Linked DNA regions of Oreochromis niloticus. The protein of the gene in region 4 interacts with the protein of the main gene of each other region in a pairwise test. Links are inferred from orthologs where the notes say so. Each region holds a gene or a part of one and is shown on either strand. Other genes may lie near its edges. The genes, in order: slc25a48, hoxb9a, unc45a and mid2.

Evidence for each region.
Region 1: the proteins of mid2 (region 4) and slc25a48 interact in binary tests that used the Homo sapiens proteins (3 or more experiments, as listed by UniProt). The two-hybrid records come from large-scale screens. The link is inferred for Oreochromis niloticus from reciprocal best matches to the Homo sapiens genes MID2 and SLC25A48.
Region 2: the proteins of mid2 (region 4) and hoxb9a interact in binary tests that used the Homo sapiens proteins (3 or more experiments, as listed by UniProt). The two-hybrid records come from large-scale screens. The link is inferred for Oreochromis niloticus from reciprocal best matches to the Homo sapiens genes MID2 and HOXB9.
Region 3: the proteins of mid2 (region 4) and unc45a interact in binary tests that used the Homo sapiens proteins (3 or more experiments, as listed by UniProt). The two-hybrid records come from large-scale screens. The link is inferred for Oreochromis niloticus from reciprocal best matches to the Homo sapiens genes MID2 and UNC45A.

The regions. Positions count from the first base shown.
Region 1 is NC_031966.2:6,859,136-6,867,200, reverse strand, and holds the start of slc25a48 (solute carrier family 25 member 48), read right to left. Parts: upstream 3,042-8,065; 5' UTR 2,569-3,041; coding exon 2,514-2,568; intron 551-2,513; coding exon 507-550; intron 1-506.
Region 2 is NC_031969.2:2,761,468-2,769,182, reverse strand, and holds the start of hoxb9a (homeobox protein Hox-B9a), read right to left. Parts: upstream 3,167-7,715; 5' UTR 2,871-3,166; coding exon 2,255-2,870; intron 1-2,254. UniProt on the Homo sapiens protein: Sequence-specific transcription factor which is part of a developmental regulatory system that provides cells with specific positional identities on the anterior-posterior axis.
Region 3 is NC_031972.2:57,599,029-57,606,446, forward strand, and holds the start of unc45a (protein unc-45 homolog A), read right to left. Parts: upstream 3,344-7,418; 5' UTR 3,207-3,343; coding exon 3,183-3,206; intron 3,068-3,182; coding exon 2,875-3,067; intron 1,259-2,874; coding exon 1,083-1,258; intron 998-1,082; coding exon 908-997; intron 773-907; coding exon 605-772; intron 395-604; coding exon 226-394; intron 97-225; coding exon 1-96.
Region 4 is NC_031966.2:21,470,452-21,478,316, reverse strand, and holds the start of mid2 (probable E3 ubiquitin-protein ligase MID2), read left to right. Parts: upstream 1-4,722; 5' UTR 4,723-5,186; intron 5,187-7,865. UniProt on the Homo sapiens protein: E3 ubiquitin ligase that plays a role in microtubule stabilization. Mediates the 'Lys-48'-linked polyubiquitination of LRRK2 to drive its localization to microtubules and its proteasomal degradation in neurons.

The DNA.
Region 1 (8,065 bases), about 15 Mb from region 4:
AAATTGATTTGGGTTTTTTTTCACCTGATTGTGAAACATAGATTTTCAGTTTTGTTATTTTGGAGTTTGTTGGACAAAAATATTCAGGCTTTTCACCTCGGAGTCACTGCACACATCTCTGACTGAAGACAGTTCACAACACTCACACTGGTTTTAAGCACATTCAGATCATTTCTGCTAAATGCTTCCTTCCTTAGCTGCTACACATACTAAATTCTTTTTGGCAAAAGAAATATGTGACATCAAAACATCGATTCAATTATGATTATAGGGAAGAAATGCTGAATTGACTCTGTGTGTCATACAAACACAGATCCTGATTTGTAGGATGGATAAGGACGTAAATAAAAAAAAAATTGCCCAAAAGAATGTGCAACAGAGTGTATATGACTTGATGAGCTGCAGGCTTGTCCGTTTTTATAACAGCTACAACGCTACAGTACGCAAACTGCAGTGATAAAAGTGGAGGAATGCAGCAGTAAAATGATTCCAGAGGTCTGACATACCTTTACTGTATCCAGCGGATGGCCAACGACCACACTGGAAGCTCCTACAGCCAAAACAGAAAGAAAAGAGGAATGAAGCACAAAATGCCAGAGAGAGAAAAACAGACGACTTTCCACAAAAATCTCAAGAGTTTTACTCATAACCAACATGCTGAAAGGCAACGCGTCTCAGCCAAAAACTAAAGCATCTTAAACTGTTTTTACTGCAGTGTGGGGACTAAATAATTACCCACCGCTTGAAGGTGTTGCACACTGAGCAACACTTAGATCACATGGTGATGGCACAGGTGGGCCTATAGAAGCAAACCTTTCTGCAAACAGTCAGTCTTTCTGGATTTTTAAAGGTCTGTAAATAACTGCTGTCTAATCTATGAATGCAGACAGACTGACAGCATGCTGCCACCAATCTGAAAGAGTCTTTATCATCGAGCACAACTTCAGGGGACTTGACTCAACTGGCTGCCAGCTGCTTGTATTCTAGTTATACAACTGGAAGGTTGGTCAGCATATCGCAAACGTTAAAAATCACAGTGATTTCATATTGAATCTTGGGGTGCTTTGTTAGCAGTGTAACCCTAAAATTTATATTTTTTGAAAAAATTATAAAAACTTCAGTTCACCTTTGCTGTGAAGGCAGTGAAACACAAAGTGAAGCTGCAAATGAGGCTGCACACGTTTCTTAACATTTTATAACATTCAGGGAAATCTGTGAGATATTCTTTAAGGTCTATTTCTAGCTTTCTATTCTTCTTCTTTTTAAATTTTTTTTAATTTAATTGCATTTTGCAAAGCAGACAAAAAACATAAATTCTTGGTGATGACAGAAAAATATGATGCACCCCTGGACTCTGTAGCTTAAAATCGATTAGAAGTCCTGCACTTGAACCAAACTTGTGGGGTCTTTCTGAGTTCATCATTGGCCTCCAAAAAGCCTTCACTGATACGATCACTGCTATCGCTTCAGCTGAACATTTGGAGAAAAAAAGCAGGTCAACATGGACTTTTAGCATCAGCTCCTTGTGTAATCTTCTTTGTGACTGCAAAAGCTCCACGGCTGTGACTCTGACATCATAATAATGCGATGTCCAACTGGCAGAATAGTTTCACATTGCAAAATAAAGAATATCAACAATGTGAGGGTTATCTGTGTTTTGTAGCACAGCTGGACTTTAAAATATTACTATATGACAGCTTAAACAGATAATGTGTTTTTGCAGGGCTTTATGTGCTTTTTTGTTTTTATATGCCAGGTTTTAATTTGTTTTACATCTTTTTATAATTTCAGTTTCATATAATAATTAAAATAAAATCTGTGCCGTGCAGTTGCCCACCCCCCAGAAATGTTTGAACTCTTCACTTGTTGATACTTTAATCATCTGAGCTTTAAATGTTTGAGTTTTATAAAAGTGTTATTAGTCGTACATATTTTGCATGGTTCATATTTTCATTTGAAAAGGGTTCACAATCAATAAACAGACGTCATGCTGTCAGAATAAAGAGACCTACTTCTGTTTTTTATGCAACTAAAATGAAGCCGCCACAGCGCCCCTAGCGGCTAGCCCTGACACAGCTCGCATTAAGCTTGGAAAAAGCGACTTTTTGTCCTTAGAATAAAAACGTCGGCAGACTGAATCCTGACTGACCGAGGGGAGAGAGCATTAAGCGAGCAGCTTTCCGAGTAAACGGAGGCGGTGAGCCTGCTCTTCACTGTGGAAACATGAGGGGTTCGGGTGGGGGTGGGAGTCTGTGCAGAGCCTCCATTGTTTATGTGGATGAGGATGCACCCGGAGCTCATGACGTTTTTTTTTTCCCCTGAAAAACGTGTTTTTACTGTACAACAACGGAGGATTGTGCGTGTCTGTGGAGCGCTGTGTGGAGCTCACTGGACCCAAACAAACGCGCTGTTGAGCCTCCCTCCACCTCCCACCCATACCCTCTTCACCCCACACGCCCCACAAAGATCCACTGAAAACACGCATTGACGGAGTGTCTGACTGAGGAACTCACCTGCGATCCATCCTGCGATGAAATCGTCCACGCGGAAACTTTTGGAGGTCTGCATCTTCTACTCGGAGCTGCTCTGCGCGCCCCACGCCAGTAAACCCACAGTCTGCGAGCTCTCCACGGGACAGAACACTTACTGCTGCCGGCTCCTGCTGATCATGTATCGGCCCAGACTTTTTTCACAAGAAGGGAAAAAACCGGCTTATAGAAGGTAACTCCGGGAGTTGTCACTAGCAACCAATCGGAGCAAAGCCTGAATCTGCGAGGCCGTTCTGCTGGCCAATCAGGAGTGAGCTCTCCAAAGCTATGCGGCCTATAGAGAGGCCGGGATGGAAATGAGCCATGAGGAGGAAAGCTGAGCAGAAAAACAGAGAACGCTGCACTTTGACCTTTCTCACACTTCTAACACTTCACTTCAGCCTGTCCAATCAGATTAAAGCTCTTAAAGAGCGGTCATCTTTATAGACCGACAAGAAAAAGTAACTTCCTGTATGTGCTGTAAAATGATTATCATCGATAAAAAAAAAAGAATTAAAAAAAAAACGTGGCTGAATGTAATTAAAGCAGCGTGTGCTTATATTGATCTTTTTATACACTTCATATGTGCGAATGGTAGAGTGTGATCAGTGACACAGCTGTGAAACAGAGCTGCACTCAAACAGACTAACCTGGATAAAAAATTGTCTGCTGATGGGAAAAGTTAAAAAAAATAATAATAAAGAGAACATCTCAGAAGGTGTTTGATAAAGATCTGATTTCTTTAAAAACGAGCAGGGTTACAACAGGGGTGGGGAATTCCAGCCCCCAAGGGCCGGTGTCCTGCAGGTTTTAGATCATACCCTGGTTCAACACACCTGAATCAAATGATTAGTTCATTACTAGGCCTCTGGAGAACTTCAAGACATGTTGAGGAGGTAGTTTAGGCATTTAAATGAGTTCCCCCACCCCTGGGTTACAAATTGAAGACTGCAGTTACACAAACTGCTTATAAATATCATTTCAGTTTTATTTTTGTGGCATCAACAACAGTCACCTTGAGGAACTTTAGTCATGGTGCTGGTGTCAGCCGTTATGCAGAAGCATTGTTTATAAGGTTGGGGAAACCTGCAGTCAGCTGAGACTGAAGAAGTCACTCAGATGTTTCATCCACTGAAAATCCAACATCCAGATGAGCAGAAACAATTTCCTGTGTATTGTAACTTGGTTGGTCCAGAACACGGCACTGAGAGTACTAACTGGAACTAAAAAAAAAAAAGGGAGAGCACATTTCTCCCATATTAGTTTCTTTTCATTGGTTCCTTGCTACATTCAGAACTGAGTTCAAAATCCTTCTCCTATAATTCAGACGTCTCCTGTATCTTTCTCCAGGTATCTCACGGCCCTTCAGCTGCATGGAAAAAGAAACCGTTCGTCCGCCATGTTGTAGAAGGTCTTTTTAAGTTAACTGAAGTTTAATTATTAGTTCCCGGGGCTTTTGTCCTTTGCTTTTGACCTTTCTGGTAATTATTAAGGAAACAGGGTAGCAGCTCAGAATCATCTCCACTTTTCAGCTCACTTCTTTGGTCAAAAACAACATTTAAGGCAGCAGATGTGAGTTACTGGGACAAAAGTGGAGCTTTGTTTCTATTTTATAACAGAGGCTGATGCCAATGTTGTATCGATCCTTCTTATTTTGTCAGAATCCTGCAATATTTTTCAACAACAGCTGAAAAATAAACTCAGACAATAAAAGACAGATGTTAGATATTAAATTTTCATATTCAACATGTGAACACTTTGAACACATAAACCAACAACAAAGTGCTACAAAAACACATCAAACTTCAGTCTATCATAAAAATGTAAATAACTGAGAAAACTTTCCTTACCATTATACAAGTGTAACACCAAGCACAGCGTTCATACTCTGTCCTTTAATTTAAGGATCCAAATGAGAAGACATCTAAAGTTTATGTGCTTAAATTCTGTGCTGTGCTGGGAGTGAACACACAAATATAATTTAGCCTTAAAGGAATAATGAAAGATAAAACAGAAACTAAATCATCTGTAAACACATGTACTGCCCCTGAAATCACATGACCTCATGTCTTTGTGGTGAACACTCCCCCCTTTCCTCCTTCACCTCCACTCGTACTGCACCCTGCGATAAGACGCTGATAACAGAGACACAGCGCTTTCGTACTTTATGGAAAATTACCAGAAAACAGTCAAACAGTCAGTGAGTCAAGTCTGACCAACAAAGGTTAAAAAAACACAACCAGCAAAGAGCAGTTCCTCTATTTCCCTCCTCCCCTGCAGCTTTCCCTGAAATGAAAAAAAAACCCATACATGAGCTCAGTGCCGATCCATTAATGTTTATCTGTAAAAATAAAGGGACATCATTTAGAAAATATTCTTAAAGTCAAGAAACTCAAAACAACAAGGCAACCATCCTGAGTAAGATTCAGATCTATGTTGAAGTTATTATTGAGGCTTTTAATTTGACAGGATCTCAGATTTTTTTTGGTTCGATTCCAGGAGGGAACTCAAAGTTGATAAACAGGCCGGGTCAGGGACGGCATCCGCTGTGATATCAGGGCCAAATAAAATCTACCTGCTTGGGAAATAATAAGGAACAAGGAAGCAGCCAAGAGCCCCGATGACTTATCCAAAAAATAAATAAAACATAAACAAAACAGTGTGTTTGTATCTCCTTTCACTCTTTTACTACAGATTGAGGCAAGCATTACACCATTTCACGTAAAAGTCAATCTGAAAAGCTCAAACATTTATCTCCAGGGTTGTATTATTAGGACAGATTTTGACACAATGACAGTTTTGGTTTGTTAACATAGAAAAGTGAGTAAAATGAAAGACACTGCCCCAAGTGAGGGGAGAGGGGGGCTGAGAGAGAGCGAAGCGGCTGATTCTTTTATCCACCCTTACATATGAACACAAGCTCTGGGTGGTGTCTGAACGAATGAGATAGAAGGTAGAAGTGTCAGAAAAGAGCTTCCTCAAAGGTGGGTGGGCTCAGCCTCAGGGCCCCATTATCGTTCATTGTAAACAGCAGACATCAGCATTCATCGCTGAGGCCGTGGGTAGCTGCTCATGAATGATGGGTGTCACTGCTCAGACGAAACCTTCATATCAGCACTGGTAGAGGAGGAGAATTGTCCTCCAGGAAGTCACGTCTCCCAGCTGTTGCAGCATCTCTCCTTGTAGAATCTGAGAGTCTGAACTTCTGCACTGATAGATCATTGAAGCAGCAGTAAAAACAAACAAACAAATGAACAAACAAACAAAAACCCTCAGCCTTTTAAACTGGTTAGGAAGGCAGCAGGTGTACACCTGTTGGCTTATAAACCTGAGAGATGCATGACTGGCCGAAATGACACCAAAGTGCACCTCAGTTGTTTGTGAGGGTGACAATAATGAGCCTTTCAGAGACAGGCTGAGGAGCTCAGTCGTGTGGGAGGGGCTCAGAGCAGAGCTGCTACTCCTACACATCAAACTTTTATTTTTGATTTTAGGTGGCCACCAGGGAGCCTCTCCTGGGTGAGGTGTTAGAGGCATATTCCACAGGGCAGAGACCGTCCAGGCAGACCCAGGACACCCCGGTGAGATTATGTTTCTCAGCTGGCCTACAAACAACTTATTGTCGCCTTGGAAAGCCGGAAGGTAGGTAGGTGGGTGGGTGGATGGATGGATGGATGTCTTTAATCCTGTCTTCCTTATCTCTCCCCAAGCAGTCGCAGCAGATGGCCGCCCCTCCCTGAGCCTGGTTCTTCCTGTTAAAAGGGAGTTTTTCCTTCCCACTGTCGCCAAAGTGCTTGGTCATAGGGGGTCATATGATTGTTGGGATTGTATTATTGTAGGGTCTACCTTACAATATAAAGCACCTTGAAGCGACTGTTGTTGTGATTTGCCGCTGTATAAATGACATTGAATTGAACTGAATTGGATGGATGGATGGATGAAAAACAATCTACAGGTTGGTTAGTATCGTAAACCTAGAGGGGTTTCCTTGCCATAAAGAATAAATGTACCCCACGACTGATCTGTTTTGTCATGCTTTCACACACGGCTGTGTCATGTATGTTGTCATATCATATAATGAGCTTTCATTCAGTGTTAAACTTAGAAAAACAGTAATACTAAACTGTGAAACAGATGTGCACATTACATTTTTGAACAATAACCTTTGGAGTTCCTGTGTATTCACGAATACATGCTATTGGCCAGTGTGAGGTATTGTCTCATATATCTTAAATGAGTGACTGGTAAACTTTCATTGGCAGCAGAAACACAGAATTTATTACTTGAACCATATTTCACAGGTTTGAATGAATGCCATCCAGGCCAGCTGTCACAGAAAGTATGAAAACTTTTTGGCTGTTTTGTTGAAGCTGCAATTATTTAAATAGATATTATCTGGACAAGTGGCTCAAGAACTTTCCATTGCCTGAGGGTAATGCTGTGCAGGGGAGGGTGAAGAAAAACATTAACCGCACAGAGTCTTAAAAATAGTTTTTTAATAAAAAATAGTTCATGTGCTCATTGTGATGAAGAGAACAAAGAGCAATTCTCAGTGTGACTACACAAAGTGATCACTTCACTTTTACATTTCTTCACTGTGAAAGTTGAGAAATTCTATGACTCACAAACAACTTTGTCATATTTACCAAAGGATGGACTTAAACAGCTAACCCAGAAGCCAACAGCAGTTTTAAAAGGTTTATTCACAGGAACTGGAAACTCAGCACTGCTGGGAATGGCAACAGGAATTTATGCAGATATGTTTCTCTGAATACAGAAGCTCAGCGAGAGAAAACAGGTTTTAGACTTCACCGCAATTATTCTTGAAACTTATTGTATGAATTCTTTTTTTTAAAATAAAGGTTTCATAAAGTAAAAGTGTCTCCCTCTATCAGAACATAGAAAAAAAGAGATGTACAGAACAAATTAGGTGTCATGCTATTTTCCAATTTAATACATTTTTGGAAGGAATCAAACTACAAATAACCAAATTACAAACCTTTAAATTCCTTCTGTCTCAGCTTGACTGATAATATGGACCTGGTAAAGGTGGACTGGTCACCAGGAAGATGGTCAGGCAGATAGAAAATGTGGTGTGTGTGCATGTTTAGACATCTTTGTGAGGACAGAAAATTGGTATGCTACTCTACTTATGGGGACCAAAAGCCCGTCCCCACAAGTTTAAGGCATTTTTGAGGTTCAAAGTGTGGGTTTTAGTGTCAGGGTATTATGTCAATTAGATGTCCTCACTAAGATAGGAAAATATGTTTGTGTTTGTCACTAAAAACCTTGGATTGTGTCACAGCATCACGTGACTTCCAGAGATTATAATAGATTATCTAACCCACTAAATATTCTTCTTATATCATAGTTCTTCCAATCAAATGTATTCTGCTACCAAATATAATTCGACATGACGCTCAACACTGCTGCATCCAGGTTAATCACATCAGTGTGAGCAGACCTGGTAACCGGTACAAACACTCTCTGATTTGGCTCAAAAACATTTACTTCCACAAAATCTGAACAGGAACAAA
Region 2 (7,715 bases), on a different chromosome or scaffold from region 4:
AAGACACTGCAATACAGACACAAAGAGAACACAAATTAACCAGAGGAAAAAAGTCTGTATGGCTGCTTTTTGAACCCTGTAAGACAACTCAGAGAGAAACTTTTTTTCTATTACTCATTTAAACAGGGGAACAGAGGAGCTCTTCAGGAGGAGCACCTTCACGAACACAAACGGAAAGTCTAATAATTCAGACTGGAGCCTGCTAGCCTCCATCCTAGACTAGCTCACTGCTCTGATGGATAGCGTGCTCAATCGCAGTAATAAGCTGGCTCTGCATGTGTATGCATATGTGTGTGACTCCAGTGTAGCATTCTTGTATATATACACTAAACGTGTATACATGAATGTGTGTTTCTTTGTGATCATTTTTTTTCTTCTTAAGGCCACTATAGAGACACAGGTCTCCCGCTCTTTTTCGCATCGGCACACCGATGGTTCCGACTCCTCTGGTAGATTTGTCAGGAGGGAGTTGAGAAGGCGAAATAAACTCCGGCGTCACTTAAAATGAAATTATACATTCATCTGAACCTCTTTCTAGGGTGCGATTTTCTTCTGTCCCACCCAAAAAGTCAAGAAACTTTGGAAGATAACTCTGAAAAGACCCAGCATATGACAGGTCAAATGCTGTCGTTAAAAAAGCAAACTATCAAACAAAACACAAAGGAACAAAAGCAAAGACACACACATAAAAGAATAGGGGAGAAAAAAGACCGTCCTGCACTTGTCAAACTACCAGCGGATTTATAACAAGATGACCGATGACTGTGATTTGTGGTATTTTTACATATACGTTCGTATAACCACCAGACTACAGACCATAATGAGGTCAGTAGAGCTGTGCCTGTGTTGAAGTATTACGCAGCAGGAAAGCGTAATTTTAACAAAGTTAAAATTTAATTAGCTTTTTGTTTGATGCTTTGAGATGAACCTGATTTGAAGGCTGCAGTCATTTATATATTATTGGCTTTAAAAAAAAAAAAAGTAAATAAATAAATCAGTAAATAAAACTCGCTACTACATAAAGAACACACAAAATGAAATTAATTTAGGATGCAGACAAAAATAATTATTTTATGTTCCGCCCTTATATTCATTGTGTTTCACGTTGTACACTTAGCTGGCAAAGCTCGAAGCCACTGTGGAATTTACATGAGCCTAGGTGGGACGATTTATACACGCTGTAAGAAGGCAGAGTTCACGTCCTCACTGTCCAGCTCTGATGCGAGTCTAACAAAGTGTAGCCAGACCCTGCTGCAGGCTGACTTAGAGGCCTCTGCTCCATAGATGCTGGCGGATCGGAGCTCTGCGGCTGGGTCACTGAGCTTTCATTATTTTTTAAAAAGAAACCGGGTTCGACAATTTGGTTTTTAGTTTTTTGTCTTCTTCTTCTTCCCATTTATAAGCGTACAACTAAAAAGAAAAACGGAAGACGCAGGGGCCATAAAATGGGTAATGCGTAATGCGTAAAGGCGAAGGATTGGGAGCAGAAGGGTCAGAGATAACATCATATCCTATCTCAAAGAGGATTTGGTCTTTTTGAAACAGGACAGTAATGCGTATGTCAATCTGGATGTAACACAAACAAACTACCTTCTGTGATTTCTGTCGGGTTGATAGCTTCAAGGACGAAGAGGATAAAAAGTGCCAAATAGGCCAGAAGTTTTCCAACTGTTAGTCTTAATAATCTTTCTTCCTAAGTTGACTTCGAAGCTTTTTGGACTCACCGCCCTCCCCGCGCGCGCTCCAAATCTTTTTACTTGTATATGATACATACGCATCATTTGCGCAAAGCTGTGACAAGCTTTTGCCAGATGGACAACACTATCGTAAGCACTATGAGTCACTTTGACGGTCTCTTTTACGGCCATACCAGGGTCACCTTTAAAACAAGAAATCCAACACAGCATTATAATACAGAGTGTTGCTCGTAATATCTTTAGCTAATTTAATAGAGTTAATAAAATCGTATGCATCACTTGCTGGTCACTGACATATATTTTTAAAGAACTGTTAAACTCTGAAAAAGTTGCGTCACAGAATCCATTTAAAAAATGTTACTACAGGCGCCAGCTGCAAATACAAGGATGACATGAGCCAAAAAACACAGTAAAGTTAGAGAGCAGACGGTGGGGGCACTTCGGCCTCTCCAGTTCTTTGTTCTAGTTTTATGGCGGCATTAAAAGCATTTACAATCACCCTCCCTCCGCTTCTTCTCTCCCACTATCACGCGTTATTTCCTGCTTTAATAACTTACTTTGATCCAGGCCGTCTTTGTCCTCATTCCCTTCACAAATGTCCTTGTTTTCTTCGAACCCTGTTGCCTGGATGGCGGCCGAATGGTGGCTAAGCTCGCGCGCTGCCGTGGACGTTGACTCCAAGATGTATGTGGTGGGCTCGTGCTGATGCTGTCCCATGATTTTGGATGCGATCTCCCCACCGAGATGGCCAAGCTGAGGCTCCAGCTTGACCTGACCCGTTTGGCCCTGTACCGGACCAGACTCAGAGCTCCGCGGCGCACAGTCCAGCCATGAACGTATGTACCGTGTGTCCGCGGCGGGCACGTGCTGCGCGGGGATGTAGGGATGGTAGACAGCGGGGAGGCCACTGGCACCGTGGTGCGGATTAAACGGGCTCCAGGATGACGAGAAGACTGGAGGCTTGGGCTGGAAACTGCAGGACGGATAGGAATCGGGATGGGGATGCTCCGTGTGCCCAGCAGCGCCACCCGGCAGCCTCCCACTCGCGGACGCAGCGGAGCTCGAGCCGGAATATTGGGCGCTAGGAAAGCGAGTCTGGGATGACAGTTCATCGCTATCGTGACTTATGATGGAGTCCACGTAATAGTTGCTCAAAGTCCCAGAAATGGACATTCTCTGGCATTATCTGTGAAACGCCTCGAGTTCACTAAATAGAAAACAAGACAAGAGACATTACGAGATTTCCTTCCTTTCCCTCTTTCTTTATCTTCTTCAATTCTGTCCTTTGCTAGGTTGCCCCCTCCCTTTCTTACTTCGTCTCTCTGCCTCTCTATCCCTCCCCTAGTCCCTTTCTTTCGAAACAAAGTGCTACAGCCCTACAGCCTAGCACTGTGCACGGGGGTTTGTCAAGGCTGTGAGCGAGGCGCAAAGTGATTGGCCGGTTTTTTTTCTTCTAACCTGAAAAAAAGCGTCAATGAAGCGTAAATCACGCATGCACAAGCCCCCACCCCCTACCCCAATAGATGTTTATATGCAATATGCAAAATGAAGGCTATTTCCGAATATCTTGTCAATTTCTCTACTGCTGCTTTCAAAACCGTTAATTATGTTATGTCTGGACTGTATGTATGAACTGTAAAGCAGAGACAATGGCTGACAAATAAGTAGTGCCAAATACTTTTAATTTATATATTCAAGATGTTAAGTGAAAAAAACAACGTTGGCTCTTGTTAAATCAATTTGTGGATCTTGGAGTGTGCTTTTAAAATACCAGTAGTATAAGTGCCAATAGTCCTCCACTTAAGAAGAGTTAACACAGATATTTTCTATCCTAGACAAGATAGGCGGTAAAATTCACACCTATGTGTGTTTTTCATCGTTTACTTGACTCCTGGATCTACTTGGCAGCTTTTCTGAGAGTTCTAGAGCGTTTTTTTATTGACAGATTAACAGCCAGTTGTGTTAACGAGCGTCATTAAATCGGGTCCTGCGTGGTTAGGTCGCTTGTCTTTATAGCGCAAACTACTTCAACTACTTTTTTGAGTCTGTTTAATACCATAATAAAATCCTAGATCGGGCCGGCTGCTTTGGTTTTTATTGAGTTGATATATGGCCTGTGGTGGTGCGGATTGTAAACGCAACTGGGGCTGTTGAATCGTTCTTGCTACTCCGGTACAGGGTACTTTTCACTCAGCGGTCAGCCTGCTATGGGTAAACATAGCTCGGTCCGGAGCTCAATGGGGGCACCGGGAGAGAAGCTGGAACGGACTTTTATTTCATGGAACCGGCCGTGACCTCTTTGGCTGAATTATTTGGGATAAAATCCGCCCGTGTGCTCGAAACCAGGACGCTGAAGAGCAGCTGCAGTCTGTGCTGATCGGGAGTCCTAACATTTGACTTGCAGCTGACCTGCAAAGTCACCGGGCTTGTAAGTCTTTGCATTTATTTACAATTTCAGACTTGGAGTCTTTGACTCGTTCAGGAAGTCATTCTAGTACTCAAGGGTATAAATCCGAACTGTGCATCGCGTATGGAGCTAACACAGTTATTTACTACAATTAAATATGAAATACAGGTTGCTTCTTATTAAAGCTGTTATTTACAAGGTGAAAGGTGGACTATAGCGCAGCTTTCATATATGCTGAGGAGACATGATGACTTGTACGATTCTGAACGACGGCTGGTGAATGTCCATCTCAGGAGAAGAAATGCAAATATAAACCCAACAAACCTAGAGTCCTTCAAACAAGACTGGTGATTCTGGCGCACAGTTTGGTATTTGAGCTTGAATTCACCACATTCCTCTGAGCTTTTGCGTTAAAGCACTCGTTTACAGCTTCGTTTGAAAATCAAAAAGAAAAAGAAATAAAAATATAAACTGTATTAAAAACTCTAGCTGTTCATGCTCAATCAAATAGGTTCTAGATAAAGTTACTGTGACCCAGATCGCTTTTATGCACTACAAGAACAAGTAATGAGGTGCGTTGTGAAGCAGTGTAGCACATTGCCACATAAGTGTCAATTAACCTGACACTTCAAATTGTTAAGCAATAATTAGCATTATTTTCGATATGTTTAGAGTAGAAACATACATACTGTTCTGCAGGCATAAATGCTAGGGATATTTTTCTTTTCAGACCACAGGCTGTGGGAATTTTAATTGTCGGTGGGCCTCCGCCCTGCAGGGCGTTCTGCCAGCTCGAGAAGTTAATTGGAGACAGTCGTGCTGAAAAAGCTAAAAGAATTTTTCTGCAAACCACCTTAAATTTCAACATCTTCAGTGCTATGACTAAAGAGAGTTTCGGAAAATAACCTTCATGGACACACAAACAAAATCCAATACCGTCATGCTCGTTTTCTTAACATTGCCCATATCCATTTAGATGTTCTCTTCAAATATCCTGTAGAGAAAATATTTCCGATCTGACATGGCATAGATTGGCACAAAAGCATGAAACAACTGGGAAGACGTCGGTGACCAAAAAAACACAATTCCACTGCCAAAACTGAGAATAATGAAGTACATGTGCAGAATTCAGCCTCGTCTGTTCAATCTTTATGTTTTTATCTTCGTTTTAGTCAAAGTACCGAGCTTTAATGGCAACTTTACAGAAAAAAAAGTTCTTCCGATGATTCTGCTTAAAGCTGAAGCCGTAACCAAACTAATTGGGCTTTTCCCCCTAACCCTTTTTTGTTTACATGCATTTACATTGCACTAAATCCATTTCCAATATCTCCCATTTTCTGTTTTCTGGCATATAATTTAACATTTAAATATTATATTAAAATCAATCGCAGGAGTCATTTAGTGAGAATGAAGCAGGCTGAGTCAATTAAAAAATAAAGTGTAAGAAAGCAATTTAAATGCATGATGAAGATGGCTTTACTTCATGCATTTCTGTATTTTCAGATATTGAAATTGCAAAGAAAATGATCGCAGTGTGTCTGATATACTAAAGTGAATATTTTTAAGTAAACCTAGTTTGTTTTTCCCACAGCGAACGCTCCACCATCATATTGTAACCAATGACAAATTAGATCTAAAGCTAAAAGTATTTTGACTGTTAATCACAATCAAGTTAAAATTAAATAAATGTAGTCGGTGGGGTAAGAAAAATAACATGAACTTAACAATTTTCTAAATTATTTTGTCACAAAACAAACCAAAACAAAAAACAATAATATGTAGATGTAGCATTAACCCAGCTAAAATGTCATTATGCAGACATTTAATATTAGAGAAAAGGTTTGGAGAGATTTTTTTTCTTTTCTTTTTTTAAAAGTAAATAATATTTTTTTAATTGCTTTTCAATTTTTTTTTTATTATTTTTAATTAGATAAAATATATTCATTGGCCCTTTGATCTGAAATTTAAAAAACCCCGATCAACTACTCCCTGTGATATTTGTATTTAATTTAATACAGAATCAGTCGGTTAATTGTTCAGTCGGTTAGTTTCCCTGGGGAAAAGGGGTCTCAACATTCTGTCTCATGAACTTTTAGTATTTAGATATTTAATTTCCCCACATACTGGCAATTTTTCTTCATCCGCTGTTCTTTTCTTCCTAAACGGCGGAAACGTTTTGAAAGGAGCGCAAAATAGGCACTAACATTTATCTTCTGAAATAGAGTGAGGGTCTCAAGTATTCTCCTTTGCATTAAAAGAAACATAATAACATTTTTCATGGAATATGCATAATGAGTTAACACACATAGAGACATCGTTTCCTCTTTTGTCTGTCGTTTTGTTTGCCTGGCTTTGGAACAGTTCTTTCTGATATCAAACTGCATTTTCTATTTTGTTTGTAGAAGTAGTCTGTTAAAATAGGCATGCATCACGTGGTCACATTAATATTTTAATGTAATATAATTCATATGTTTTTGAATTATTTCTAAAAATCAAGAACAACTCATATATTATGAACGCTGAGTACAAAACCACGGGAACAGACTGTTTCAGTGTTAATTCTGAAACTAAAGGAAAAAAAAATCCCAAATGTGATAACAGATACTGCAAAAATTAAACTCCGAGATTAACACTGATACATGCTTCTGGTAAAATAACTGCCATGTAATAAAGTCATATTTACAGTGGACGTCAGCGTTTATAACCCCAGTAATAGCGGTGTAATAATAAGTCTAAAAAATAAAATAAGATAATAATAAATAATTAAAAGAAATCGTTAACACTTACTCATGTGATTTACAATTGCTCATTTAGGCTTTATATTCTTATTAAAGGTAACGGTTGTTACGTTACAATAAAACCTGATGAGTATCATAACCTGTGTGACTGATGCGATCTATATATTTTAACAACGACCACGTGGCTGAACCTCGTAGATCATTATATTTCTCAGCTGAAAAGCTTAAGGAGGTTTCCAAAGGATTTAATACGTCTTATACATAACCCCTCATTCACCTATTCACACAAGCGTTTTTCTATGCTTAAATCTTTCTATCTAACACTGATAGATGCATCGGACCAACTTGGAGTTAGTATCGTGCCCATGTCTTGCATACAAACCAGCAACGTTAGGATTACAAGATGACCGCTCTCCCTCCTAAGCTACAGGCACAGTGAAGTCAGTATTAATCATTAGTTAAGCAGCAGGAAAAAAGTAGAAACATATCGTTATGCTGGATGGGCTCACGGCGAAGTAATGTCTGGAAACATCTTAACTACAATACAGCTGCTGATGATACATTTTGTATCATTTGACTCAAATAGGGATAAAAACCATCAGCCTTGTTGATAAGTCCACGAAATCTTTTACGTTCAGGCACTGCGTTGCTCTATGCAGGGATGATAGTCGATCTGCTGATGTAATTATAGTATCTTAAAAATTTACAGGAGACAAACATTATGGGTCTGTTAAGGTGGGTGCACAATATAAAAGCAAGAATTTTATTTATTTTATTTTTTGCCTGGCGTAGTAATTCATGATTTGGTACCATCAATACCTACAACCATTCTTGTATTGAGAATAGAGATTTATAAAGCTTACTTAAATGCAT
Region 3 (7,418 bases), on a different chromosome or scaffold from region 4:
GATTTATAGCGCTGTCTCTGCCCGGCCCTGATACATTTGATGCTGGCATCATTTCCAAAAGGTGTCGTAACATTGCCCGCAGCTCCTTGGATGGTTCTGTGTTAAGATTCATATAGTGAGTAACAATTAAATGTAAAGAACACAGAGCAGACACACACAAAGCATTTGTTAAAGGTTAACCTTCATCAGTGTAACCAAGTTCCCAATATAAGTGTCTAAACTCACCAGGAAGTATGGCTTCATCTTTTCCTCTGATCTCTCTTTTCATTCCCTCTGTCAGAGCTTCAAACATCACCTGTAGCAGATGGCAGGCAGCCAGAGACACACTTGAAGCTCCTGATCCCATTACCGCACACAGCTGCTCCATTCCCAACTCATTCACTATCGCCATAGTCTGGAAATTCGAATAGTGGACATCAGCAATAACGAACTGCAAAACAACTGAGTGACAAGCACATTGAACAGTCTGCTCTAGCTTCATATTAATTATGGATGAAAACCAGAAGGCATATAAACTTTTTTTTATAATTCCAAACTACAAAAATGCAAAAAGTGACTTTAAAGATGAAGCAAATAGTAATCTCAAAGGAACATTCACACTTACTCTAGACTGATGTCCTGTGCACAAACCAACCAATGTCCTGAGAGCAGAAAGTACAACATCCTCCAGCTTTGACTGCAGAAGTTTCTGAATTAGCTTCACTCCATCATTACGGAAGATCTGTTCAGCTCCTGCTTCATCTCTAGATAGCACCACTAGATTCTGAGCAGCCTGAAATTGATTGAAAGATTTGATTATTTTGGTGCCGTACAGTTTTACAGAGACATCAGCATTAATGAAGAAAAATCAGGCACATTAAGAATGAATTAGAGAAATGTATTCATCTGCCTTTTGAGTTATTCTCACCTTCTGTCGATCGGACTCTTTAGTAGATGGATCTAAGAGGAGGGAGAACATCTGCTGCACACGAGCATCGGTGGAATTTAGTTGCGCTGACTACAGGGTTAAGAGAAAATATTTCAATTAGCAAGATATAATTTAGAAAATAATTTTATCCACACCATTATCCACATCACACCACCTTTTGCTGAATCTGTGCTCCCAGCTGTCTGAGCAGATCCTGGAAAGCTTTATTTTTGGGCTCCAGTTGGGCACATCTCTGAGCATCCAGAAAGGCCTGGTCAAACCGGCCAAGTTTCTGAAATGCCTGGGCCCTTCGAAATCTGGCTTTCACATCACTTTGGTCAGTATCGAGTGCTGAAAAGAGACAATTATAATATTCATCAAGCTGCAAAAGCATCTTTCGAAAGACACATTTCATGCAACAATGTCCAGAATGGTGAAAATGACAAGTTATGAATAATGTTATCCATTATAAAAAAAATATTTCTGCTGTAACTATTGCTCAATAAAAAAAAAAAAAATGCAACACTTTGGTCTATAATACCTACTTAATAACTAAAATTCTGTTTTTGTTAAGACAAGATAATGCTGCTGGTAATATATATACCAGTATCATTATGTTGTCCATTGTTTGTTTAAATATTGTACTGTAATGCAGGAAAAGATGCTTGTATGTAATCGGTGTCATCACACAGTTTGGCCAGCAGAGCGCATTCAAACTCTATTGTTTACAATACTCTCAGTTTGCACCACATATAGCAGAGTATGAATCAAGTAGTGCCTTCACAATAAGTAAGCAAAGTCAATAAACAATTTCACTTTTTCAATATAACTTAAATATAATCTATATATACCATAACATTAAAACCCACTGGTTTAGGTGTCCCATTTCTACCAAAACAGTTGCTGGGTCATGATCACAGGATGCCTGGTGAGGTTTTGCTGTCTGGTACTGGGATATCGGGAGCATATCCTTTTCTGGGTACTGTGGATTGCAGAGTGAGGGCCTTCATGTATTACTGTTGGTCCACTCAATCATGTGATAGGTTTGGATGTGGGCAGTTTGAAAGCTGGACCAGTGCCTTTGGCTCTTTATCTATCTGGCAATGTAAATCTATGTATATAACGAAAATATATGCACAGTATGAGTCAGATGAGCTGATCTGTAGAAAATTGTCAGCTTAGTAGCTCAGTTTAATGTTGTCATGCTTCTTTTGTTTCTTTTCTATTTTTGAGCATATGAATGTATGAAATATAAGGCCATCTGTGCATTTATATGGATGTGTGTTATGCACATAGGTCCATTTGTATGTATTTACAAAGGTATTGCAAATTACCTTACTGTAAACTACTCATATACACAAAGTACAGGTTCATAAGATCTTTCTGCACCTTTTTTGTTTGCCTTGATATAAATGTGGAATTTATTATGATTTTACATATTCTAACCCATACAGAGTAATATAAGTGCACTTTGCAACCTCTGTGCCTTTCTCTTGTCTTGTATATATTACTCCTGTTTCTTATTTATTCCTTTTGTCTTACTATTTATATTTGTTTCCTGCATAGTTGGTGTGGAGCACTCACAATTTCATTGTACATGTACAATGACAATTAAGAGCTATTCAAAAGTGCACATGGCAAGGTTGCAGGAGGATCACTGTGATCATTATGGTCATTGTGCAAGTGTACCCTTTTTAAAGCTGGACTGAACCCAAAAAACTCCCAGCAGGAAGTTACATTAACAATTATGGATAAAAGTGACTGGTGAATATGGATAAAAAGACCACAAGCCAATATTTATATTTTGAAACTATTCGGATGATGAATAAACTTAAAACCGCATAAAATGGGGCTAATTTGAGCACTAAGATGGACTATTTTCTTTCATTTCAGCTAAGCTCCCTGTGGGCCGCAATGAAAGATTAGTTATTCGGTGATGTTGAGAATAAACAAGAGAACTGGCCGACCTTTGGAGGCATCAGCCTCTGCCTTGCTGTACTCCTCCAGCTTAAGGTAGCACGCAGAGCGGTTCCGGTACAGTACAGCTTTGTCTGCCTGGCTGTCACTCAGCTTCAGTGCTTTGGTATAACAGCAGACAGCACCCTGTATGTCTCCTGCCTTGAAAAGAGTGTTTCCCTCCTCCTTCAGGGCGGCAGGGTCCTATAAGTAAAGACGGGTGGAAATGTAGCAACAGGATCACGGAGAAACTTCGAGCAAATGTATTTGAGTGAAATTTGCTAAGCTAGGGAAAAGTAGCGAATTGTTTCTACGTTACCTTTTCTTTTTCAGTCTCACTCATCTTCAAGGTGTCGCACACAGTATAATGCAAATATGTAGATTTATTTTACTATACGTGGTCGCAAACACCGCCAACTCCAGCCAAACATGTTACATCTTTCTACACTTCCGGGTGTCGGAGCACGTTGATGACGTGCACTGCCCCTCTCGCCCACGCTGTATTACCATAAAAGGAAGAGAGCAGCTACAACGTTTCTGCCCCCATCTCCACTTTATTTGGTTATATTTCCATTCCATGTGGCTTTCTTCAGTCCATGCAGACACAGAGAGTTATATCAGGCTACTTATGTCATAAAGAAGAGGGGTTGTGAAAGCCAGCAGTTCATTTTTTTCATACATTCACCATATCTGTCTGAGAACTGTAATATAGCAGCTGTTTAAACTTAGCAATTAATTAGTTAGAACTATCTTTTTAAAGGAATTACACATGAAAAGAACATTTGGGTTGCCAGGTTGTGGGAAAATCACTCTTCTGACTGGGTTGTTCTCCACTGGTCACATTTTGTAAAAGGACCCACAAATGCTCAAAGTTATTGAATCAATAGAGCAGCTTTAAATTATAAATTATATTTTTAAGAATTCATTTATGTGAATTCTGAGCATAAATATTATGATTTTTGTCATTATTGCCTTTAAAAAAGAAACTAGTTATTTTGATTAACTGTATAAGTGTATGCATAAGTCTGTTAAGTAAGTAACACTCAAAGATAAATTGATCTTTTACTGTAATTTTTTCTACGTTTTCAGCACTGATGAATGTCAGTAACTTCACATAAGTATCCTATGTATGATGCAGGACAATGTTAAACAGTTTTATGTAAACACTGTCCACTTGGGGAGGCTATTAAGCAATACAGTCCTTTATTATACTAAACTTGATCAAGACGGGAAGAAGGAACTAATGTTTGTCTTCTACAGTTTGCATGTTTTTGTATTTATATGTTACATGCTAGGGATTCCATTTGAAATGTTTGTGGATGTTAGTTAAAATGTTTTGCATGTCAAACTCGGTTGTTCCACAGTGCCAGTTCAGCCAAAATATGTACTTCAGGTCATACATAGAAGAACAACTTAAATCATGTGTTACATTAAAATTTAAGCACCTCATAGTGAAGTGATTCATTTATTATGAACCAAGGAAAAAGTTCTCTCACTTTTTGGAAACAAGAGTGCATTCTGATTTTTGATGTAAAAAGTTTAAAAATTAATATCATTGCAAATTAATATGTTAACCTAAAGTGAGCACTACTGCTTTGTCTCTTGCAGTGGAGCTCCAAAGTTAAAAACCCTAAAGGACGCGTACTGCATTTCTTATACCAGTCCTATGGGAAATCTCCTTTTACCAATACTGTCTAGCACTATTGTTCGGTGTCCTCTGTCGCCTTGGAGACAAGTTCGTCACCTTTGGTCCTTGTGCTCAGGTACACCTGTTAAGACTCTTATATTACCACAGCACCTTTGTTAATTTAGAAGAATATCCAGCATGGTGATTGGTATATGTTTCCTATTGGCTGGACTTTGCTGTAAGGTCTCTTACATAATATAGCTGCAGGAAATCTAAAACAGCACCACAGTCCCAAAGAAAGAAGGCCTGGCCTGAAATCAACAACAGCTGAATAAACATTTGCTCCTTTCTTATGTGGAAAATTATGTTGTCATTACTGGTGGACTTTCTGGAACCATATTCTGGAAATAACTTAGAAACCTTAAACGTAGCACAGCACTTTTAATGTTTTTTGAGACCTTATCAAAAGTTATTGTGTGTTGTGACTGGAGTAAAACACATTTACCAGTGGAGGTGGTGAGTGACAGGAGAATGGCGGCTAAGCTGTCATCCCTGTTGGACAACATCTCCCACCCCATGCATGAGACTGTGACAGCACTGAGACAGCACTGAGCAGCTCCTTCAGTGGGAGACTGCGGCACCCACGGTGTGGGACGGAGAGATTTCGCAGGTCTTTCCTCCCCACTGCTGTCAGACTCTACAATAAAGACTTTTGCAGCTGTTCAAACACACAAACCCACACATGTGCAATAAGACTGCTATACGTGCAATTCTTCTTCTGACGAAGTTGTGTTTTTGTATTTTCCTACTCAGTTGTATATAGTATTTGTATTTCTATTTTATTCTATTGTATATGGTATTTTATTTTATTCTATTGTATATATTATTCTATTTTTATTCTATTGTATATAGTATTTTATTTTATTTTATTGTATTTTATTGCATTCCAGTGTTTTCTAATTTCTGCTACATAACTTTGCACTTTTGCTGTAACAAAACAAATTTCCCACCTGTGGGACTAATAAAGGCCATCTTATCTTATCTTATCTTATTTCCTGTAATTTCCTGCGCATTCTGCTCATTAATAACTGAAGTGACAGCAGACCTTCTGTTTCAAAAAACAGACTTAGATAAGCCACCAAAAAACAACAGTGTAGCTCATCATCAATGCACCATTATGTTTTCCACATAGGGCTTTGCTGCTGTTGTTTACCTGCACTGTGGTTCTCTGCAGCTGTCACTGTGGTCTAAAACTCTTTGTCTGTTGGAACAGGACTTTGGCAGGGGTTACAACAGTCCCACTGCAGTAGCTTTATAAAAATTTCATGGAGATAAAACTTTACAGCTACCTCAAAAATAACTCTCTATTGCATTTTTTTTAATGCCTGTGTTTCTTATAACAAGCACTCAACACTGGAAACAAAATAAGTGAATACTGGACATCTTTAATCCACTATCTATGTGGGTTAATTTGCTTTTAGTCAACCTTTAATTATTAGTGTCTGATTTATATGCTTAAAAGGTTCTACTGCCATAATCCACTGAGACACTGTAGGTGAGAAATGGACAGCTACTTTCCTCCATTTTTCAGTCTCACACATGCATTAGTAGAAAAGGTCTTTCAAAAGGTATTAATAAATTTCAGAATTGAATTTGTTTAGAGCAAAGATGAAGAACTACATTTTTGCTTTTTATAGGAACAGTAATAAATCATTAAATTAAAATCATTAAATCATTACATTAAAATGTAATAACAAACAAGGGTAATATTTTACAGTTCTGTATTATCATAAACACTCTATTCCTGTGCCATTGGCTCAGCATGTATCAGACTTATTAGTCCTTCGACTGTTCACATTCTCTGCCTTCACTGTAAGGTTTAGGTCAATTTTGACCTGGGCTATAAATTCCTTTATAACATATATCTTGTCTTTTTTAAGGCTTTATCTTTCAAGGCACCCTATGTATAACCTCAGTTACTTATGTGCACCATATATGATGACTACTATACTGTTTTTCACTATAACACTATTTGGAGATTACCCCATGATTCTTCAAAAACCTGCAGGTGCCTGTCTGTGCAGGAAGCTATAGGCAAATGTGGTGGGAACACCGCTGTACCGTTAAAATTCAGTTTCAGTATAGTTTGACAGTTTCAAGATTCACTAAAATTAAAATTTTCTTTGATTTCGACCCTCACTGGTGGATCTAATTTCAGTAGATACGGCTAAATAGATAACAGGTCAAATTAGCACAAAGCCTTCAAAAAATTGTACCTGTACAACAGTATAAAATTTAAAAAATATTTTTAATTCATGTGGACAAGGATAAGCGGAAGAGTATGGATAAATAGATGGATTATTTTTTTTTAATAGAAAAAGCTACTTTCTAAATGTTTATTTTACCGAAGATGCTGGTCAGTCAGCAGCACACACCCCCTTTCCTCCCATCAGCCTTTGCAGCAGCTGCTCAGCGGCGCTAGCTGCTAAGCTAGTTCAGGTAATCTGTCAGCCTGCAGCTAAATCCACGTACACTGCTGGGCTTTACACTCTTCCGGAATACTCTCCTTTCATGGGTAACGTCAGATTTTATCATTATGAGACAAGGTGCCAAGGTCGTACGCAAACGGTAGTCGAGGTTTAGGACAAAAGTAAGCGGTTAGCAGGGAAATATCAGCCACGTATTGTCTTAATGTTATCAGTCAATACTTGCTATCGCCCGTAATCACCGACATAAATGTTCAGCGGAACAAAACGACAGATGTGACAGCTGTTTATCCAAATTTATCAGTACCTTCCTTTGCAGTTCTCATACTAACGTTGTCCGACTCTTGAATCGAGTTCGCAGAGCTGCCAATAGACGTAACTTGATGGTACATTTGACAGCTAGCGCTAGCTTTTTTTATTCGTAATTTGTAACGTTAGGCAG
Region 4 (7,865 bases):
TAAGCATGGTGAATTTCTTATTTGAATAATGTATTTAAACACATTTTATCAGATTTTTATCAGACAGTTAGAGATGCACTGATGACCAAAGCTTTTGTCTTTTTCATTTCTTTTTATTTTCTTCTGCTAATCTACAGAGTAGCACAGCTGAGACATAACGGCTCAAGCAGACCTTGCAGAGTAAAAGCTCAGCCTGCAACCACCTGCAAGCTGACGTCTTGCTGTTTAGACCCTCATAATCCACTATGATTGCAGGATTTTATTTGTGGCTGCGCTGCAGTGTGAGAGAACCGAGGGGTCAGTGAGCTGAAAGACAGCAGCTGGCAGCTACTTACATTTATATGGATCCTTAAAATCCCAGACAGTTGCACAGCAAAACAGCCAAATCCTCAGAGCTCCTCAACAAAAGAAATGTTTTGTAAACTTTAAGTACATGCACTACTGCAGAGCAAAGATTTAGTCACTGGCATAGTTACATAATAAGCATTATGCAGTCCTTGGAAGTTCTTGTTGCTTTCTTCTCAGGGCATGCAGTACTGATTAGAAATGATAAATAATGTAGTTCATTTTGTTTTATTTTCAGCTAGTATTTAAAAAAAACTTAAAGCTATTAATTACAACTTCCCACATTTAAAAAAAATCATAGAAACATAATTATTTTTTGTAATACTCTTTGTTATCTTGTAACTAACAAAAGCTGTCTTTGAGTAGAGACTTTCATATGATTTGATTTCTTATGGTTGATTTTAGAGGTACAATACATAAAAAATATGAATATACAATATAGAAAATCAATACAGTCATCTCAGAGCCACTATTCTGTGACAACAAAGGTGCAGCCCCGATAAAATCTCGCCACTGGAGTTTCGTGTAGTTCAACATATAATCCAAAGAGAAGATAGCACTGACTGATTAAGATTTTTTTATCCGTGCACCTTTAAGCCTAGACCTCTAGCCATATTATCATTTCTGCTTCCACTTCCTTGTACATGGCTTGTGATGTCCTTGCCACCAGCATCATGTAGACACCTGTAGATTTGGTGCTCACAGGTCTATAGGCTTCTACATGATTAGTGAATATGTATCCTCTTAGTAGATCACCATGCAGGGTGGTTGTTGATGATCCCTGTGCTGTAGCAGTGTCCCCCGATGGCAGATTGCATACATCAGTTGCTTGTCTATGTGACACTTCTACTAAAACACCATCTTTACCTGCGAGGCACTACTTATTCCTCTCACATTTGACACAATGCAAACTAGACACCTGCAATGACTCACTATCACCTCTTGAGATATGACGGTATAACAAGACAGGACAGAGCCAAGGTTATCCTGTTAGTATGCTCACTTCAATAGATATCCCTGCAACACAACACACAGAAGCCTTTGACGTGATGTCAGAAGGGTTTCAAATTATGATGATTACATTGTTTATTTTTATGGAACATTTAAACATGGAAATCTTACTTGTTTTACCATTAAACCCATGTGTACTCCAGAAAAATTTAAAAGTGGGTCATTTGTTAGTGCCAAAACTTAATTAAGTATCCCATAGTGTCCCATCTGTACCCAGCCTCATTAATTATTACTTTTCCCCAGCCTCGGTTATCCCTTTTCAGTTAACTATTCATAAGCCCTGTAATGATTAACAATATGTTTTGGGTTAATCTCTTTGTAAGGGAAGAGATTTTTTTTAGAGCTAATGCAAAATTCTTCAGCTGAGTGTGTTATTAAATACTTTTATTGACCTCCACAGTTCAGAATTACTGAGGTCTGATGTTGTATTGACAGAATTTTTCTTTTTCATTTCAAACTGTGAAGCTCTAACGAAGGCCCAGACTCACCAACGAATCTCTCTACCTTTTTGTTGTATATTTTAGTATTTCTTTCTAACTCCTGAGGAAAATGATCAACAAAATCTCAGTGTTCATCAAATAAAAGCAGACCGTTTCAGTTCATGTAGCACTTATTGCTGAAGCTAATTTGTTGACCTTGTTATTTGCTTGGCTTTTAAGAAATTATAATGCAAACATACAAAAAAAGTATAAAAAACATAAAACAAAAGCACAGCAAGCAGTGAAATGACAGAAAATACTAAACCTGGAAACATACCAAGAGTGAATGAAAATGGATGGATGGATGGATGGATGGATGGATGGATGGATGGATGGATGATGGATGGATGACATTTTAGTGCATCTGCTGCTCAGTCATTGGTTGGTCTTTTCTCACATACTGTACTTACACACAGACATACTTAGCAAAGCTTCCCTGTCTAAATGTGCCATGTGTATTCTATCCATGGACATTAAACAGTGTTTTTCTCTTTTAACTTTGCAGAATTGGTTCTGTGTTCCTTTGACCAGTGATGGTAGTGTCGCACAGTCTGCCTCTGATCTTCATGCACATTTCAAACAAAAACGAAACAAAAAACAAAAAATGTCCACTTATAAAAGGATTAATCCAGAATGCTAACCATGACCACAAACCCCACAAGGTGGCTTTAAAGGCTGTTTTTTGTGCTCACAGGTGTAGGTTCATAAGTTCCAATGCACCCATTGTTAGTATCACAAAAGACATGCTGGCTCTGAACATATCAATGGAGGATTTGGGGCATTGTCAGTTTGGTTTTTATGTAGGATGAGATGAGTGTCCTTGCAAGAGAAATTGACAGACATCCTTCACTTTTAAATCCTGCCTTTTGTGACAATACAAAATGAGCCAACCACTGCAGTGTAAAGTGTAAGTTCTAATAAGACTGTTTTTGGGGCTGTGGGATGTTGGAACAGGAAAATAGCAAACTTATTTGTTTGAGCCAGATGACATTCGTCATAAAAGACCAAAGTGAAATGTGAAAGTTTGCCATTTCACACAAGCTATTCCTCATTTCGAGAAGGTTAAACTGATAAACGTACTTCTTTGACAGGTTTACTCATGTGGAAAATGTGTCACTTTGCAGACTGGGTGACACTGAAAGATAATAAAAAATTTATTTCTTGAAAAATAAAATCTATTTTATATGTGTGTGTAACAACTATGTTAAAGTCATCTATCACTGTGTACTAATACACCTTATACTTTCAGCTGGAATCTGTCTGTACAGCAATAGCATGTTCAGAAGCGAACAAACAGTCTTACAGGCCTGCATGCCAGCACAGATATCCACCTGCGAGCTTTGATATTCAGTCCAATGGACCAGCTGAGACCTGGAGTTACAGTTTATCAACCTAATCCATAAGCATATGTGTAAGGTGTGAGGGGTCCTGTGCACCCCTTTGCTTTTAAAACCTGTCTTACAACCACTCAGCAGACTGAGAGGGCCAGTGCTGGTTTTGCTTTTCGTGGGTGGAAGGTACAGAGAAACAAGGACTACCTATCAGTTTTCTCCTTAGGATGAAGTTGTCCTTCTCGTCTCTATTGAATACCGAGCTTGTCACAGAGGAACTAATTAACATGGCAACTTGTACGGCCGTGCAGTTCTTCCACCATTCAGTCTGTATCCCATTTGCATTTGAGAGCTGTTTGAAGGCAGTAATTCAGCAGAAAAATCCTTGTTTCTCTTCAGAACACCCACATTAGCTCACCTACAGAATTGGAAGCTCCTTTCAACTTCAGGCTCATGATGTACACATTTTAACGCTAGCACATTTTCTAGCTTTCTAAATGTTTATTTAGCTAAAAAAAAAAAAAAAAAAAAAACCCTCATCACTGAATCCCCATGCAAACATCATACTCTTCTGTCAGCTTCAAACATCTAACTAAAGCCTATGACTATCAAAATTTAATAATTCTTACAGTTATTACAGTTTGAGGACCAAAAGCTGAGAATTCATTTGCAATAAAAACCTCTGAAAATCAGTGTTATTAAAGCATGAGACTTAGAAATGAAAGATTTTATTTAAATTAAACACACACAAAAAAAATAGAATTCAGAAGAAGAAAAAAACAATCTACAAACTGGTGACAAAGGAATAACCCCTCGACCTTTATACCGAGAGGAATCGTTGGCTCTGGTGTGTTATAGAGCATTTTCTGGGTCCACGTGACCCCTAAGATTGAAGAATATATATATAAATCATGACAAATGATGGGAGTGGCGCCCACTAGGATGACAGTGCCCCCATCCATAAGACATGAGCGGTCGATAAATGGTGTGGTATAAAAATAATATGGAAATGTAAAATATGGCTGTTATCACCGCCTCTCAAACCAATTAACGCTAATGATGACTCTAACAACTCTTACACTTGGTTGTAAAAGTTGTTAAACTCTGATTGGTGCCTGGGAGTAGTGACATCATTACTGACTTAGATTACAAATTATGTATATGTCTGTATGAAAAGAAGGAAAACAGTCTGGATTGTGGAATAACCCCAAAGAGTTATCCTGACAAAATTATTGTTAATATCATTTTACACTGATTAATGGTACAACCTACATATGTGATTCTAATTTGTTCATTTTTATTAAGCAACATTTAAATATTTTTTATCTTAATAAATATAATTTATCTACACACATTTGAGTTACCATCTATAAGAAAACTTTCATATAATTATATCTGCTGTGGGAAATAAAGAATTGCCACCGCGATGTCAGCTAAACAGCAATTTAATGTCTTAATAACGGGCCAAGGAGACAGGTGTATTATATTAACAGATCCAAATTGCTAAGGTGAAGACAAATGACAGCGACACCGTGAGGTCACAGGGGATGGGAAAATGGTAGGAGGAGGAGTATGGGTGCGCACAGCTCGGGTTCTTTGAACGGGCACTAAAGCAGCGGTGTAACCGATCCCAGCTGCTACTGTGTGGGGAATTGAGAGCTATTCCCGTCCCCCGTACGTTGATCACGTGTCCTTAGGGGACGTTTGCTTTGGGGATCACTTTGGGAGGTAAAGGCAGCGCACCGGTGCGCGTATCCAATTTGGAGAGAAACATCCTTAATAATCGTAATGATCCACCGGAGGATCAACCGGATCACTTTTGTTTCGGGGCGTTGTCATACACCCTGTACAGTGGCTTGCTTTACACAGATCAGTAAGGAACTGGCACTCTTTGTGTGATCCGTGACTCACTGACTTGTCAAAACTTCTGCGCTTACGAGCCGCGATCTTTACTGCGAGCATCACATTGCTGCCATCTCCTGCAACGAGTCGACGTACGGAGCTGTCACTGCGAGCCGAGGTAGGCTGTGCTTCCTTTATGTGTGTTTTTTTTGGCGGAATAGCGAGAGTAACATGCACAAGAGGGCACACACTGGCTAGGAGCATGAGTTAGTTTGTGGAAGGCACACGCTGTGCAGTATTGTGGGTTCCAGGGTTGCAACAGTGTAATGATCCATGTCAAACGATACAGTAAGTGTATGACGAGCTCTTATCTGTGTACAGAAACATGCAGCATGAAGACGTGTGTAAATGTGTGCCTAATATTCTGCTTCGAAAAAGACGGTGAGAAAAAACAAAAACAAATGCGCTCTGGTACGTCTGTGGTGGGTCAGGGACTTAATACATGTGTTTAATGTTCACAGTGGCCTGCAAATTTATTCTCAAAAGTTTTTAAGAGTGCTAAAATTTCTGCACTCCTGTTGATGATGTTGCTGTTGAATATTCTGAATGAACTCTTACTTTTGGAGTGGATTATTTTAAAGACTGGTGAACATGCTTTAGCCTTTATGAACTCATCAGTTTAGCCATTGTGTACCACAACACCAGCCACAACATTAAAACCACTACTACAGCTGAAGCGTATGACACTCATCATCCAACTACAATGATGTGCTCTCCTGGGAAATCTTGGTTTCTGGCATTTATGTGGATGTTATTTTTGATATGTACCCACCTAAACATTGGAAAACAAGACATGTTTCATGACAATGGCGCTCCCAGATGGCAACAGCCTCCCCCAGTGGAACACTTGCACCCCACCACACCACAAAAACTGTTCAGGAACGATTCTAGGAATGCGACAGAGAGCTCGAGGTTTTGACCCGGCCTCCAAACTGCCAGATCCCAGTACAATAAAGCATTTACAGGATGCCCAGAACAAGCCTGCTTCTCTGAGACTCCACTCTGAAACCAGCAGGAGGCAAATGATCCACTTCTAATGTCCTGGTGCTTTTTCCACACATGCCCATGTCTCAATCAGTTGCAGCTGTTTTAGCAGCACAAGGGGGACTTGCACCACACTGGGCAGGTGGTTTTAAGTTTAAGGATGACTGATGTAGGAAAACAGGGACTAACCTGAGCTGACTCCCAGCCACGCCCTGCTGCTGTCAACCAAAGCAGCAGGAAGAGAGGCATTTTCTCATTTCCCCCCCAGAGAGATTAAAAGGAGATTTTTCAGAATACATATAAAAGTAGATTTTCTGAACAATCGCAGGAACACCAGTTGTCAAGTCTTAAATGCGTTTTAATTTTATGTAATGAAAATTCCATGTTATTAAATAAAAATGCCAAACTAGTCCAGTAGAAGGCACAAACCAATGTAGTCACCACAAACCTGCTAATAAATGTAATATGAATCCTGCAGAGTCCCTGTTGTGATATTAGATTGTCAGCCTGGTTATTGTGGAGACAGTGCTGCAGGTGACTGTAGAGGGACTCTGGCTTTGCCTTCAGAAAAGTGTAAAATGTCAGCTCCTTATCAATAATGCAGCACACCAAAAACAGTGGGGAGTAAGAAAATGGAACCCACTGTTAGAGACGGTTACCTAGTGCTTCATCATTATTCACATAATTGAATAACAAATACTTTATCAAAATCCACTTGGAGTAATTACCAGCAATGCAAATATTTCCATTCTAATCCTAATACACAACCAAAACAAACCCGTATGATGAGCTGTAATGTGCCATATCTTGTCATGCTGATCACCAGTGAAACAAATTTAATGTCTATTACAATTTTTTTTAAAAACGGTGGTTCACCATCTTATAAAAATGATTTATTTCCCTGCTCTCTTACTGCCTGTCTTGTTAATGCATGATCACTGTGGTTAATGAGACAGGTCTCAGTGCATGGGGACTGACAGTTTCAGAAACTGCACTGCTAGTTGGGTGAATACAACTGACACCCTCATTCATCATGCATCCACGGGGTGCTGCTTGCTCTCCTAGTCTATCCACGCTGCGCTTCTCTCCCCTTGTCTTAGTCGAGTCTCGAGTTGCACCCTCAGATGATAATTATTAAGACATTATACTGATGACAATAGCAGAGTTTTTTTTTCTGTAAAAGAGACAGGGAGTCAGCTTCTACGTGCTGGGATGATTATAACTGTGAAAGAGGGTTGGCGTTCGTTGTCGAGGTTGCAGCTGCAACGATTTCCAAGAATAGATGTAAATGCCAACTGTACAGTAGTGTACCTGTTTGACTCTGTTACTGGCAGCCAGTAGCTAATTGCGGACTAGCCAGAAAATCAAAAGCTGACTTGTCAAATATCGTTTTTTTTAAGAATCTGTGATATTACATTAGATAAATGAATATCAAGACGTTTTTTCCCCACACTTTTCTAACTAAATAAATGAAAACAAGTCTACATTCTTTTATGCTGTGCTTCATCAGTGGTTAAAATATGTTACCTGACCTGAAGCAATAATATAAAAGTACAATTATGAAAGCATTATTAATCTCGCTAATCCCGATGGCATGCCATGGTGCAATTTTAAAATGTAAGAGATGTAATTAACCCACATTTACCATAATTACTGAAGCCTTGACTAAACTTTGTAAGCTTGCATATTGCAGTATCTCTTAGATTTACTGTATTAAACTTTGATGCTCGGGAAAATCGAATGAAAATAGCGGATACGTGAATCCCAGTTTTGTGCACTTGTCTGCTGCAGCAGCTACAGCCCTTGAATGTTA